Linked DNA regions of Macaca mulatta. The protein of the gene in region 2 purifies or fractionates together with the protein of the main gene of each other region. This does not show direct contact. Links are inferred from orthologs where the notes say so. Each region holds a gene or a part of one and is shown on either strand. Other genes may lie near its edges. The genes, in order: RAC1, WASF1 and NHSL3.

Region 1 (3,651 bases), on a different chromosome or scaffold from region 2:
CAACACAGGAACGGAGGCAGGAGAACTGCAGGAGAACTGTTTGAGCCCAGGAGCTCAAGGCTACAGTGAGCTCCGATGTCACCACCACACTCCAGCCTGGACAACAGGGTGAGACCCCTGTCTCAAAAGAATAAAAAACCCAATCATGTACTTAAGTAGCAAATTCCTATAACCAATTTAAATAACTGAAAATTCCTAGGCTAAGTGATATTTTAAAGTATTTATTTCTTTTTTTTAAAATTTATTTATTATTATACTTTATAAAGTATTTATTTCTGAGAGTGTCATTCTATAACTCATATACTTTAAATCCCCACCTACCTTTGCACGGACATTTTCAAATGATGCAGGACTCACAAGGGAAAAGCAAATTAAGAACACATCCTACAAAAAGGAAACACAGGGAAACATTTAGACAACGACCTTCGAACAAAGCCTGCACTTTGCTTTCTGGATGTTGCTGGGAAGGACTTGTCGGACGCAGAGCGTGTCTACTAGGTACCAGTGGCTTGGTCAGATGCTTCCTGATCCACCCTTTCAGTTTGTCAGAGGGCTCCCAAACCAAACCCAGCATGTCAAGCCACCAGTTACTTATGAAAATGGGGAGCGTGAAGGCAGAATGATGCCAGAAGCTCTTCAAGGATCAGGAGGATCAGACCAGACCCCCCAGGAGGCTTCCTTTCCGCCTATCTATCTAAACAAAAAATCAAGTATGAAGGTATGATTCCAATATTTCTGTAAAATCTGGTTTAGAGTACAAACATTTTTAGATGGTCACTGGTTCCAATTAAACTGCTTCTTCAGGAGCTGCCTGTCACAGCTCCCAGCACCAAGTGGGGGCTCCAATATTTGCTACTTGAGCCCTTCCCTCCGCAAGGAAGGAGGACTTAGTGTGTAAGTGGCACCTTCACAGCTGACGACCACCCTCACGCTGCCCTCGAGTCAGCACAGCCAGGGCCTCAGGAGAACTCGCTCCCGGGGCAGCTGTGGCTGAAGCAGAGGCGCGAAGGGTCGGTGCGGAGGACACAGTGGAGGGTGCTTCGGGGAACACGCCAGACATCTGCATGCTTCCTCCATTCTGTATTTTGTGTCAAACCAAATTCAAATATTTACCTGTATTTAAAAATGCCCAAGAACTTCTAAAATGCTACATTTCTAAAATATTCTCCTAGAAAAAGGCAATTATGCTACTTTATGAAATGCACACAATTCCCAAGCTACACTTTCAACCCTCCAGCTGATGCCTTGTACCTGAAAGGGAAAGAAACATCCCACACAACAGCTTTTTATCACTGGCGTTTGAAGAACGCTGGCGCATGCACAAGCTCGTCCAAGAGTCACCGCGGCACCCAGCACACCATCTCCAGCACGGTGGGGTTAGCTCAGCAGCACCGCACAGCCGCGCCCAGACAGCCCCACCACACGGGACACCGAAGCGGAGAAAGAAGGCCCCGGCAACAAGGTTAGTCCTGCTCCGGCTCGGCTCACAGCCAGGTGGGATTCCAAGAGGAGTCTCCGTATCTGCATCTCCAACCAGCCAGGAGAGGGGCCCTCTCACTCTCCCCCCTCCTTTCACTCCGGAGGGGAAGATGGCAGTTCACAAACTGCTTTAATTCAAGCCGGTGGGTAAACTATCACACTCTAATCAAGTTTATTTCATCAAGCAAAACCCCAACCTTGAGTGAATTAAATATAAAACACTCAAGGAGCTTGAGGCTTAATAAAAAAAATTCCTAAGAAAACGAAGTGAAATGAGAGAACAGAGAAAGCTTGAAACTGAAGTGGACTGAAAGTTTTACATACGGCAATCGGCTTGTCTTTGCCCCGGGAGGTTATATCCTTACCGTACGTTTCTCCAACCTAGTAATGCATGAGAACTTGGTTTGAGTTTAGTACAGACTGAGGAAAATAAAAATCAACATAACCTCTTATCGATTCTTTATTAGAATTTTGTCTTAACCCTCCAGAGGAATCCAAAAGCATATAATAATCTAACATCTTCGATGACAAATGCCACTGAAACACTCCACACTACCTGGTCAAAAGCGGGCGTAAGAAGTTCAACAATGGTGCACAGAGGTCAGGCAGATCCTGATGGGGGCAACAACGTGCTCCTCCTCCCACGGCAGCACCCACCAGAATCTACAACAGCCCGCACAGCCGGAGATGTTCTGCACCATCCCTTACCGCGAAGGCAGGCGGGAGCCACCGGCACTTTCCAGTGCTCCATCTGAGTTCTCAGACACAGCCTAGCTGAAGCCACAGCACACAAGAAAGGTACCCATCGGTAAATGATGCCTACCAGACAAAGGGCTCTCCCAGAACATAGCCAGGCCTCAGGGCTGACAGTTTTAATGCTACCAGAACATTCCAAGTCTCCTATGCAGAAATGTTCCTATCTTCCACCTAGTTCTGGGAGCCTGGTTTGAATGTACAGACTTGCATTATCAAAATCAACACTGTTGCTGACACCAAGGCCCCCAATTCTGGGCCGCTTTGCAGGTCTGGGGGAAGCCACCCCTTAAGCACAAGCTTTTTTTTTTTTTTTTTTTTTTGAGATGGAGTCTTGCTCTGTTGCCCAGGCTGGAGTGCAGTGGCACGATCTCAGCTCACTGTAATCTCTGCCTCCTGGATTCAAGCGATTTTCCTGCCTCGGTCTCCCAAGTAGTTGGAACTACAGGCGCCCACCACCATGCCCAGCTAATTTTTTGTATTTTCAGTAGAGACCATGTTTCACCATGTTGGCCAGGCTAGTCTCGAACTCCTACCCACCTTGGCTTCCCAAAGTGCTGGGATTATAGGCGTGAGCCACCACGTCCAGACATGGACAAATTTGAGAAGTGAACACTTCCAGTGTTTATCACAATGCTGTCAATTCATTTCTTTATTCCAATAAAAACTGACAAACTCGCTCTTCCAACATAGAACCCTGAAACTATTTTAAGAAAAGGGGCCGGGCGCGGTGGCTCAAGCCTGTAATCCCAGCACTTTGGGAGGCCGAGATGGGCGGATCACAAGGTCAGGAGATCAAGACCATCCTGGCTAACCTGGTGAAACCCCGTCTCTACTAAAAAAAAATACAAAACACTAGCCGGGCGAGGTGGCGGGCGCCTGTAGTCCCAGCTACTAGGGAGGCTGAGGCAGGAGAATGGCGTGAACCTGGGAGGCGGAGCTTGCAGTGAGCTGAGATCCGGCCACTGCACTCCAGCCTGGGCGACAGAGCAAGACTCCGTCTCAAAAAAAAAAAAAAGGGCTCACGCCTGTAATCCCAACACTTTGGGAAGCCAAGGCAGGTGGATCACGAGGTCAGGAGTTCAAGACCAGCCTTGTCAAGATGGTGAAACCCCGTGTCTACTAAAAATACAAAATTGGCGGGGGTGGTGGTGGACACCTGTAATCCCAGCTACTCGGGAGGCAGAGGTTGCGCCACTGCACTCCAGTCTGGGTGACAGAGTGAGACTGTCTCAAAAAAAAAAAAGGCGGGGGGCAAATGAGAAAACTTTTAATTTCATCTCACTCATGCTTTTCTTTTTTTTGAGACTTTTTGAGACGGAGTCTCACTGTGTCACCCAGGCTGGAGTGCAGTGGCACAATCTCGGCTCACTGCAAGCTCCGCCTCCCAGGTTCACACCATTATCCTGCCTCAGCCTC
Region 2 (3,651 bases):
TAGAGGCAGATAGCTTTCCACACAATTTGCTAAAAGTTAATTATTTTCTTGTTTATTAGATTATGTATGTAATGCTTTTCATCCTGTGAGTTGAATTAGTATTCTGTTATAAAATAATAAAATAACTGATGGTCATCATAGTAGATCTCTAAATCAACAAGTAAGGGTTACATTGTGAGCAGCATTCTTTGTTTTAAAAGCAGGATTAATGTAATACTTTTCTGAAAGTTTCTTAAAAATAGTTAAAATGTTGGCATTGAAAGGATAAACTTTAAATATTTAATATCTCATGTAGAACACTTTTCCTCCCAATAATTCAAGAAAAATTCACTGATACTGTATATTTCTTTTAGACCTCAGACATACGTGGATCATATGGATGGATCGTACTCACTTTCTGCCTTGCCATTTAGTCAGATGAGTGAGCTTCTGACTAGAGCTGAGGAAAGGGTATTAGTCAGACCACATGAACCACCTCCGCCTCCACCAATGCATGGAGCAGGAGATGCGAAACCGATACCCACCTGTATCAGGTATGTTGGAACAAGCATATGATGTTTTATCTTAGGAGTCAGTAACTTTTTCTTTCAAGGACGAGATAGTAAGTATTTTTGGCTTTCAGGGCTTACAGTTTTTGTCACAAGTACTCAATTCTGCCATTGTTGCATGAAAGCCACCATAGACTATACATAAACAAATGTGTCTGCATTTAAATAAACTCTGTTTATAAAAACAGGCAGCAGGTCTGATTTGGTCTATGGGGCATTATTTGTAATCTTCTGGTTAGAGCTGACACACTCTCCTAGGAAAATTTAGCTAATAAGAATTTAAAGACTAAAGCCTGTTTCATTTTATTATAGTGTTGTTATTAAGCATATCATGTGCAGTGTATTAAGAAAAATTAAGGATTTTTTGGAATGTGGGTAACAGTCTAAGAAATGGGAACCAAAGATGTGATTATTAATACTAATTTGGTATTAAGGAAAATACTTAAAGAATTTCAGAGAGGATTGGCAGTTGCTCATAATAATCTTTCTGTAAAGCTATTTTGAAGTTTAATCTTGTCAGTTATTATCCAAATGATAAATTTCTAATAGAGAAATATTAGGGAAATTTTCTAATAGAGATATAGAGATCAGCTTTACAATTTTCAGTTAAAAATCCAATTTTCTATCACTGACTCATTTGATGTTCCATCCTCAGGAAAAGAGAGAGCTGTGAATTTCTTTCTGTGGTTTGTAATTAGCTGTCATTGATGTAACTGAAATAGCATATGATGAGACTTAATAGTTTCAGTATAAATACAACATTATATTGGCCACAAGTATTGCTACAAAATTGCATTATGATCAATGTTGAGTCATTACAGAGACTCCTGTCAGTATAGAATTGAGCATTTTATTTATCAAAGTGAGCATAAAATGTCTGAGTGGATGCAAAAGTTGCATGAAAGAATGAGACTATTTAGACTATTACAAACCAAAGCACCACTCATTAACTTTTTTTGTTGATGTGCTTTTAGTTCTTTTTTTCCCTAAATACTGTTGAAGATGTTAAATTTCTATAGGAGCATGTTAATGGATCTATTTTGATATAATTACAGATAGTCATTTATAGTTTGTGTGGTTAGATTTTCTCTTTAGGCTTTTCTCTTTTAATAACTTGCTAGAATCTCTTTGTCATTTCAGTTCTGCTACAGGTTTGATAGAAAATCGCCCTCAGTCACCGGCTACAGGCAGAACACCTGTGTTTGTGAGCCCCACTCCCCCACCTCCTCCACCACCTCTTCCATCTGCCTTGTCAACTTCCTCATTAAGAGCTTCAATGACTTCAACTCCTCCCCCTCCAGTGCCTCCCCCACCTCCACCTCCAACCACTGCTTTGCAAGCTCCAGCAGTACCACCACCTCCAGCTCCTCTTCAGATTGCCCCTGGAGTTCTTCACCCAGCTCCTCCTCCAATTGCACCTCCTCTAGTACAGCCCTCTCCACCAGTAGCTAGAGCTGCCCCAGTATGTGAAACTGTACCAGTTCATCCACTCCCACAAGGTGAAGTTCAGGGGCTGCCTCCACCCCCACCACCGCCTCCTCTGCCTCCACCTGGCATTCGACCATCATCACCTGTCACAGTTACAGCTCTTGCTCATCCTCCCTCTGGGCTACATCCAACTCCATCTACTGCCCCAGGTCCCCATGTTCCATTAATGCCTCCATCTCCTCCATCACAAGTTATACCTGCTTCTGAGCCAAAGCGCCATCCATCAACCCTACCTGTAATCAGTGATGCCAGGAGTGTGCTACTGGAAGCAATACGAAAAGGTAATTTTCTCAGCTCCATGAAAAGCATTGCTATAGTAGCATTGGAAACTTTCTAAATATTTAAGACAAAAATGTGTTCCTTATTTATAAAATTTTAGGTGATCATGTTGTGTACAAATGGCCTTTAGAAAGTAAAGCTATATCCAACTTATATTTAAAATCATTTTCCAGAAAATAGATCACATTTGATCATTTTATTTTCATGCTTTGTAGGTATCCTTAAAATGTTTATTGAGTGAATGAGAAATTTAATATATCAGACTTGTGTTATAGAATATTTAATTAAAACCCTTTATATTATGCTTAATGTGTATATTAACTCCTTTAAGAATAGTATTTTCTTCAATGTTAAGGCTGTTCATTTCGGGTATCCATGACACTTACTCTACCAGATGCCCTTAAAGGAGTGAGGTTCTTCCCTTAGTAACAAAGGAAAGACTTCTCATATTCATTCATGTATTGTCATTATTTCCTAAGCAATGACTGTAGGCCAGGCACTGAGCATATAGAATGAATAATAGTGCCTTTCCCTCAAGTACAATGGATAATGAAGCCACAGAAAATATATTCAACAATGTTTAATTTATTTGACCATTGGGATGATAGAAGAAATGTACCACCTCATTAATTTTTTAGGGGGTGGTAAGCAAGGAGGTATAGTAGACCATGATGGATAAATAAACTTTAGATACCTACTGGGATACCTGGTAAGTTTTACCAACTAATAACACAGATAACATAAAGATTTAATGCCTCTCTCAGTATGATTTCTTCACATTCTTTTCTGATCTTTTTATTTTTCCTATTAGTATTTCTCATGTGCATTTGATTTTATTCCAGAAATGTTAATAATATCAAGTATTTAGTATTTAGTATTTTGATTTAAATGAATGGTTTGGATTCACTATATCAGGTATTCAACTACGCAAAGTAGAAGAGCAGCGTGAACAGGAAGCTAAACATGAACGCATTGAAAATGATGTTGCCACCATCCTGTCTCGCCGTATTGCTGTTGAATATAGTGATTCGGAAGATGATTCAGAATTTGATGAAGTAGATTGGTTGGAGTAAGAAAAATGCATTGATAAATATTACAAAACTGAATGCAAATGTCCTTTGTGGTGCTTGTTCCTTGAAAATGTTGGTCATTCTAGTGTTTTGCTTTCTTTTCCTTATAATAAATGACCCTTTTCCTCCATAACTTTTGATTTCTAAGGAAAATATTAGCATACATTTCAAACTAAATGTTTTACAGTGGCTTATCTTTTTCTTCCCCCTGAAAAGACTAATTTGGTCAAATAAACCACTAAGTATTAAGCATGGACAGCTGTTGT
Region 3 (3,651 bases), on a different chromosome or scaffold from region 2:
GGGGGCTGGGGGCTGATAATGAGGCCAGAATCTCCCGTCCGCCTGTGCTTTTGTCCAGCCGCTTTGTTGCTGCCTTTGTCTGGGCCCTGCTTGTGGCTTGGGAGGATGGATCCAGGTGTCTCTGACCTTGAAGCCTGCAGCCCTCCCGGGAGATTTGCCTCCCTGCCGGGGTACCCACACTTTACTGGGTACAGCCTCCCAGTCAAGATGTACTAGCCTTTCTAGTGTGCCGGGGAGGACGGGACGTGGACAGCCCAGAAGAGAGGAGAGTAGTACCACTGCAAGTTGGGGAGCCTGCTCAGTGAAATCTTGTTTAGAGGCCTGGGAATGGAGAAGTTTTGGAGGGAGGGGCCTGTTCCTCCTTCCTTCTCCTAGGAATTGGGCTTTCAGTCCTGGATTAAGACATAGAGATCAGAGTTTATTGGACTTTTGAGGGTTGGGGGCCCCCAGTCTGAGTGTGATCCATGAGTCCCCTCTGGAAACCTGGAGTTGAGTCCAGGGTCTGTCTGACTCCTATTGCTGGGTGACCTTAGGCAAGGCCTTGCCCCTTTGAACCACTTCCCCGCTGGCAAAATCTGGGGATCTAGGACACTGCTCTGGTCAGATCTGTTGGGGGCCTCCTAGCTCTGACCTGTGGGATTCCTGCAGACTCCCTGGGGCAGGAGCTGTGGCTGTTGACGAATGGGCTGAGGGAGGAGGAAAGGCAGGTTTCTGAACTGAGGACCCTGCTCCTGGGGCATGGCCCTTTAAAGGGCTTGTTTTGTTCCTGTCGCTTTATAAGGTGCTACCAAGGTCACATGACCCTTCCAGTGTTTTTGCTTATGTTGTGGGTTTCATTTAAAGGGGGGCTGGGGCTGCAAAGTGCTGACACAGCCCCCCATCCCCAGGATTAGATGGCCAGCCCCTCCACAGGCGGGGCTTGTAACAGGATCCTTTGTAATGGATCTCTGGCTCCTCTGCAGCAGGGGCCAGGGCCAGGGCCAGGGCCTCCAGGAGAGGGGGATACCTGGGACTATTTCCCCAAGAGAGACTGGAGCTCCCTTGGGCGGGTGGAGGGGCCTGGGTCTTTCTTCTCCCCTCCCCTGCCCATCTTTCCACTAAGGGGCAGACACATGGGTGAGTAGGGGACCCAGGAAGTTATCTCCCTGGTCTGCATCCCCCCTAGGATTTTCTGGGAATCTGGTTGTAACTCATGCCAGCTCTCCTTCCTGATTTCCCATGGTGTCTTCTTCCTGGACCTGGGTCAAGCGGTGGCATGAAAAGGGTGGTTTGTTTTCCTGTGAAGTGGGGTTTTGGGTATGGAGGCGAGAGCAATGTATTTGCTATGGGCTATGTGTATACTCGGGATGTCTTTTGTGGGGCCCTGAGTGATGTGTGAGTACACAGTCGTGTATATACTTGGTTACTGTTTGTGTATATACAGAGCAGGGACTGTGGGTGTTGTGTTTACGTGTGGGCTGGGTGTGCTCAGTGTGCGTACCTACGTGTGTTTATACTCAGATGCCCTTTGTTTATATACATGAACGATGTCTGTGGGTGCTGTGTACATACACAGTAGACCTGTGTACCTGTGTGCCCTGTGTGTGGTGCCTTATATGGGGCCCTTTGTGTGGTATGATGGGTACTTAGATTTATGTACACTTGGGTGTAGTTTGTGTATATGGGGGCTGTGTGTGTTGAGTGTTTACTGCAGAACTGTGGGTTATGTGTCCAGACTGGGGGAAGGGGGCATTGCTTGTATATGCAAGGGCTGTGTGCAGTCTTGGGACCGTGGGTGCCCTTGCCATGGTACCTGTGCACCTGCAGGGCCCAGATGCCTTTGCCTCATTTCCCTTCCTCCTCCCTCCCACTAGGCTCTGCCAAGGCTGAGAATGACAAACGTCTAAGTGTAGGGCCCGGCCAGGGGCCAGGGTCTGCAGTGGATGAGCACCAGGACAACGTCTTCTTCCCCAGTGGGCGACCCCCGCACCTGGAAGAGCTGCACACTCAGGCCCAGGAGGGGCTCCGCTCCCTACAACACCAAGGTAACCTTCCTCTCCACTCCACTCCCCTCTCCTCCCTCCAGTGCTGCATTGTCAGCTCTCAAGGTCAGGGGCCTAACTCAACAAACCCTTCTGGTGTCTTCCAGAGAAACAGAAACTGAACAAGGGCGGCTGGGACCATGGAGACACCCAGAGTATCCAGGTGAGCCCTGTCTCCAACTCAGTCCTGACTCTTCTCTACCTGCTTGACCCCTGGCAAGGATATCTTGGAACATTTCTGGGTCTCAGTTTCTTTCCTCTATCACAAAAGGCTACACTAAATGACCCCTGAGGGCCAGTCCAGGGTTTCTCAGTGCTAGGTGATGCTGGAGGGGATATGTGACTCAAAAGTTCGAGTGGGAGGCTAGACATGGTGACTCACACCTGTAACCCCAGCACTTTGGGACACCAAGGTGGGTGGATCACTTGAGGTCTGGAGTTGGAGACCAGCCTGGCCAAAATGGTGAAACCCTGTCTCTACCAAAAATACAAAAATTAGCCAGGTATGGTGGGAGGTACCTATAATCCCAGCTGCTTGAGAGGCTGAGGCAGGATAATCGCTTGAACTCAGGAGGCGGAGGTTGCGGTGAGCCAAGATTTCGCTACTGCACTCCAGCCTGGGCGACAGATTCGTCTCAAAAATAAAAAAAGTTCCACTGGGGAGCCTTGAGGAGGCAGCGCCAGCCAGATCAGGGCCTGATCTCCTTCTACCCTGATAGTCCTCACGGACGGCGCCGGATGAAGACAACATCTCCTCCTGCAGCCAGACCACCTCCTACGTGGCTGAGAGCTCCACAGCAGAGGACGCGCTCTCCATCCGCTCGGAGATGATCCAGCGCAAAGGTGGATTCACGGGCAGGGGAGAGGGACGGGGGGCGCCACTGGGTCCCAGCATCTGTAGCTTCTTTTCCTCCTTATCCAGTGTTTCGCCAGGCTCTCTGATTCAATGAATTCGGGAAACACGGTACCCTGTGTCCTCTTGCACATTCATGATACACACTAACTATAAAGCAGTTTAAGAGTTAGAAAATCTTAACTGTTGGAGGCCTGGTGTAACTACGTGCCAGCTGTGTGACCTTGGGAAAACCCTTAACCTCTCTGAACTTCTGTTTGATATTCTCTAAAAATGAGGATAAGTATCTTATTGGAATGAATGCCAAATGTTTAGCATGCTGACTAACACATGATAATATGTTTACTAAATAATAAGCTATCACTAAAGGGAAATTACCATCGTTGACTTAGTAGCCTTCCAGACGTCTTACAGAAAAGAAGCCTCTAGCTTTGTTTAACCTAGCCTTGCCCATACCTACTTGACTGCGGAAATCATTTCTCGCAGAGCTCTTACTACAAAAGTAGTGCCCTGCAGAATGTGCCCTGAGTCCTTTGCTGTAACAGTTTTTCTCCCCCGACCGGCCCCCAGGCTCCACCTTCCGACCCCATGACTCATTTCCCAAATCTGGAAAGTCAGGGCGGCGTCGGCGGGAGCGGCGGAGCACTGTGCTAGGACTCCCGCAGCATGTGCAGAAGGAGCTCGGTGAGGCCTGGTTTAGGAGGGCAGTGGTGGTGGGTGGGGAGCCTTGGTCATCCCTCTCTGCTGACCCCACCTCCTCCCTGTCCCTTCCAGGCC

What was found.
Region 1: the proteins of WASF1 (region 2) and RAC1 purify together in Homo sapiens (affinity purification with western blotting; 3 studies listed by BioGRID and IntAct, with this or other methods). This does not show direct contact. The link is inferred for Macaca mulatta from reciprocal best matches to the Homo sapiens genes WASF1 and RAC1.
Region 3: the proteins of WASF1 (region 2) and NHSL3 purify together in Homo sapiens (affinity purification with mass spectrometry; 3 studies listed by BioGRID and IntAct, with this or other methods). This does not show direct contact. The link is inferred for Macaca mulatta from reciprocal best matches to the Homo sapiens genes WASF1 and NHSL3.

The regions. Positions count from the first base shown.
Region 1 is NC_133408.1:44,612,237-44,615,887, forward strand, and holds part of RAC1 (ras-related C3 botulinum toxin substrate 1), read right to left. Parts: intron 1,861-3,651; coding exon 1,804-1,860; intron 385-1,803; coding exon 322-384; intron 1-321. UniProt on the Homo sapiens protein: Plasma membrane-associated small GTPase which cycles between active GTP-bound and inactive GDP-bound states.
Region 2 is NC_133409.1:15,156,016-15,159,666, reverse strand, and holds part of WASF1 (actin-binding protein WASF1), read left to right. Parts: intron 1-353; coding exon 354-533; intron 534-1,688; coding exon 1,689-2,317; intron 2,318-3,230; coding exon 3,231-3,388; 3' UTR 3,389-3,651.
Region 3 is NC_133406.1:208,089,496-208,093,146, reverse strand, and holds part of NHSL3 (NHS-like protein 3), read left to right. Parts: intron 1-1,853; coding exon 1,854-2,024; intron 2,025-2,128; coding exon 2,129-2,184; intron 2,185-2,740; coding exon 2,741-2,864; intron 2,865-3,444; coding exon 3,445-3,558; intron 3,559-3,648; coding exon 3,649-3,651. UniProt on the Homo sapiens protein: Able to directly activate the TNF-NFkappaB signaling pathway.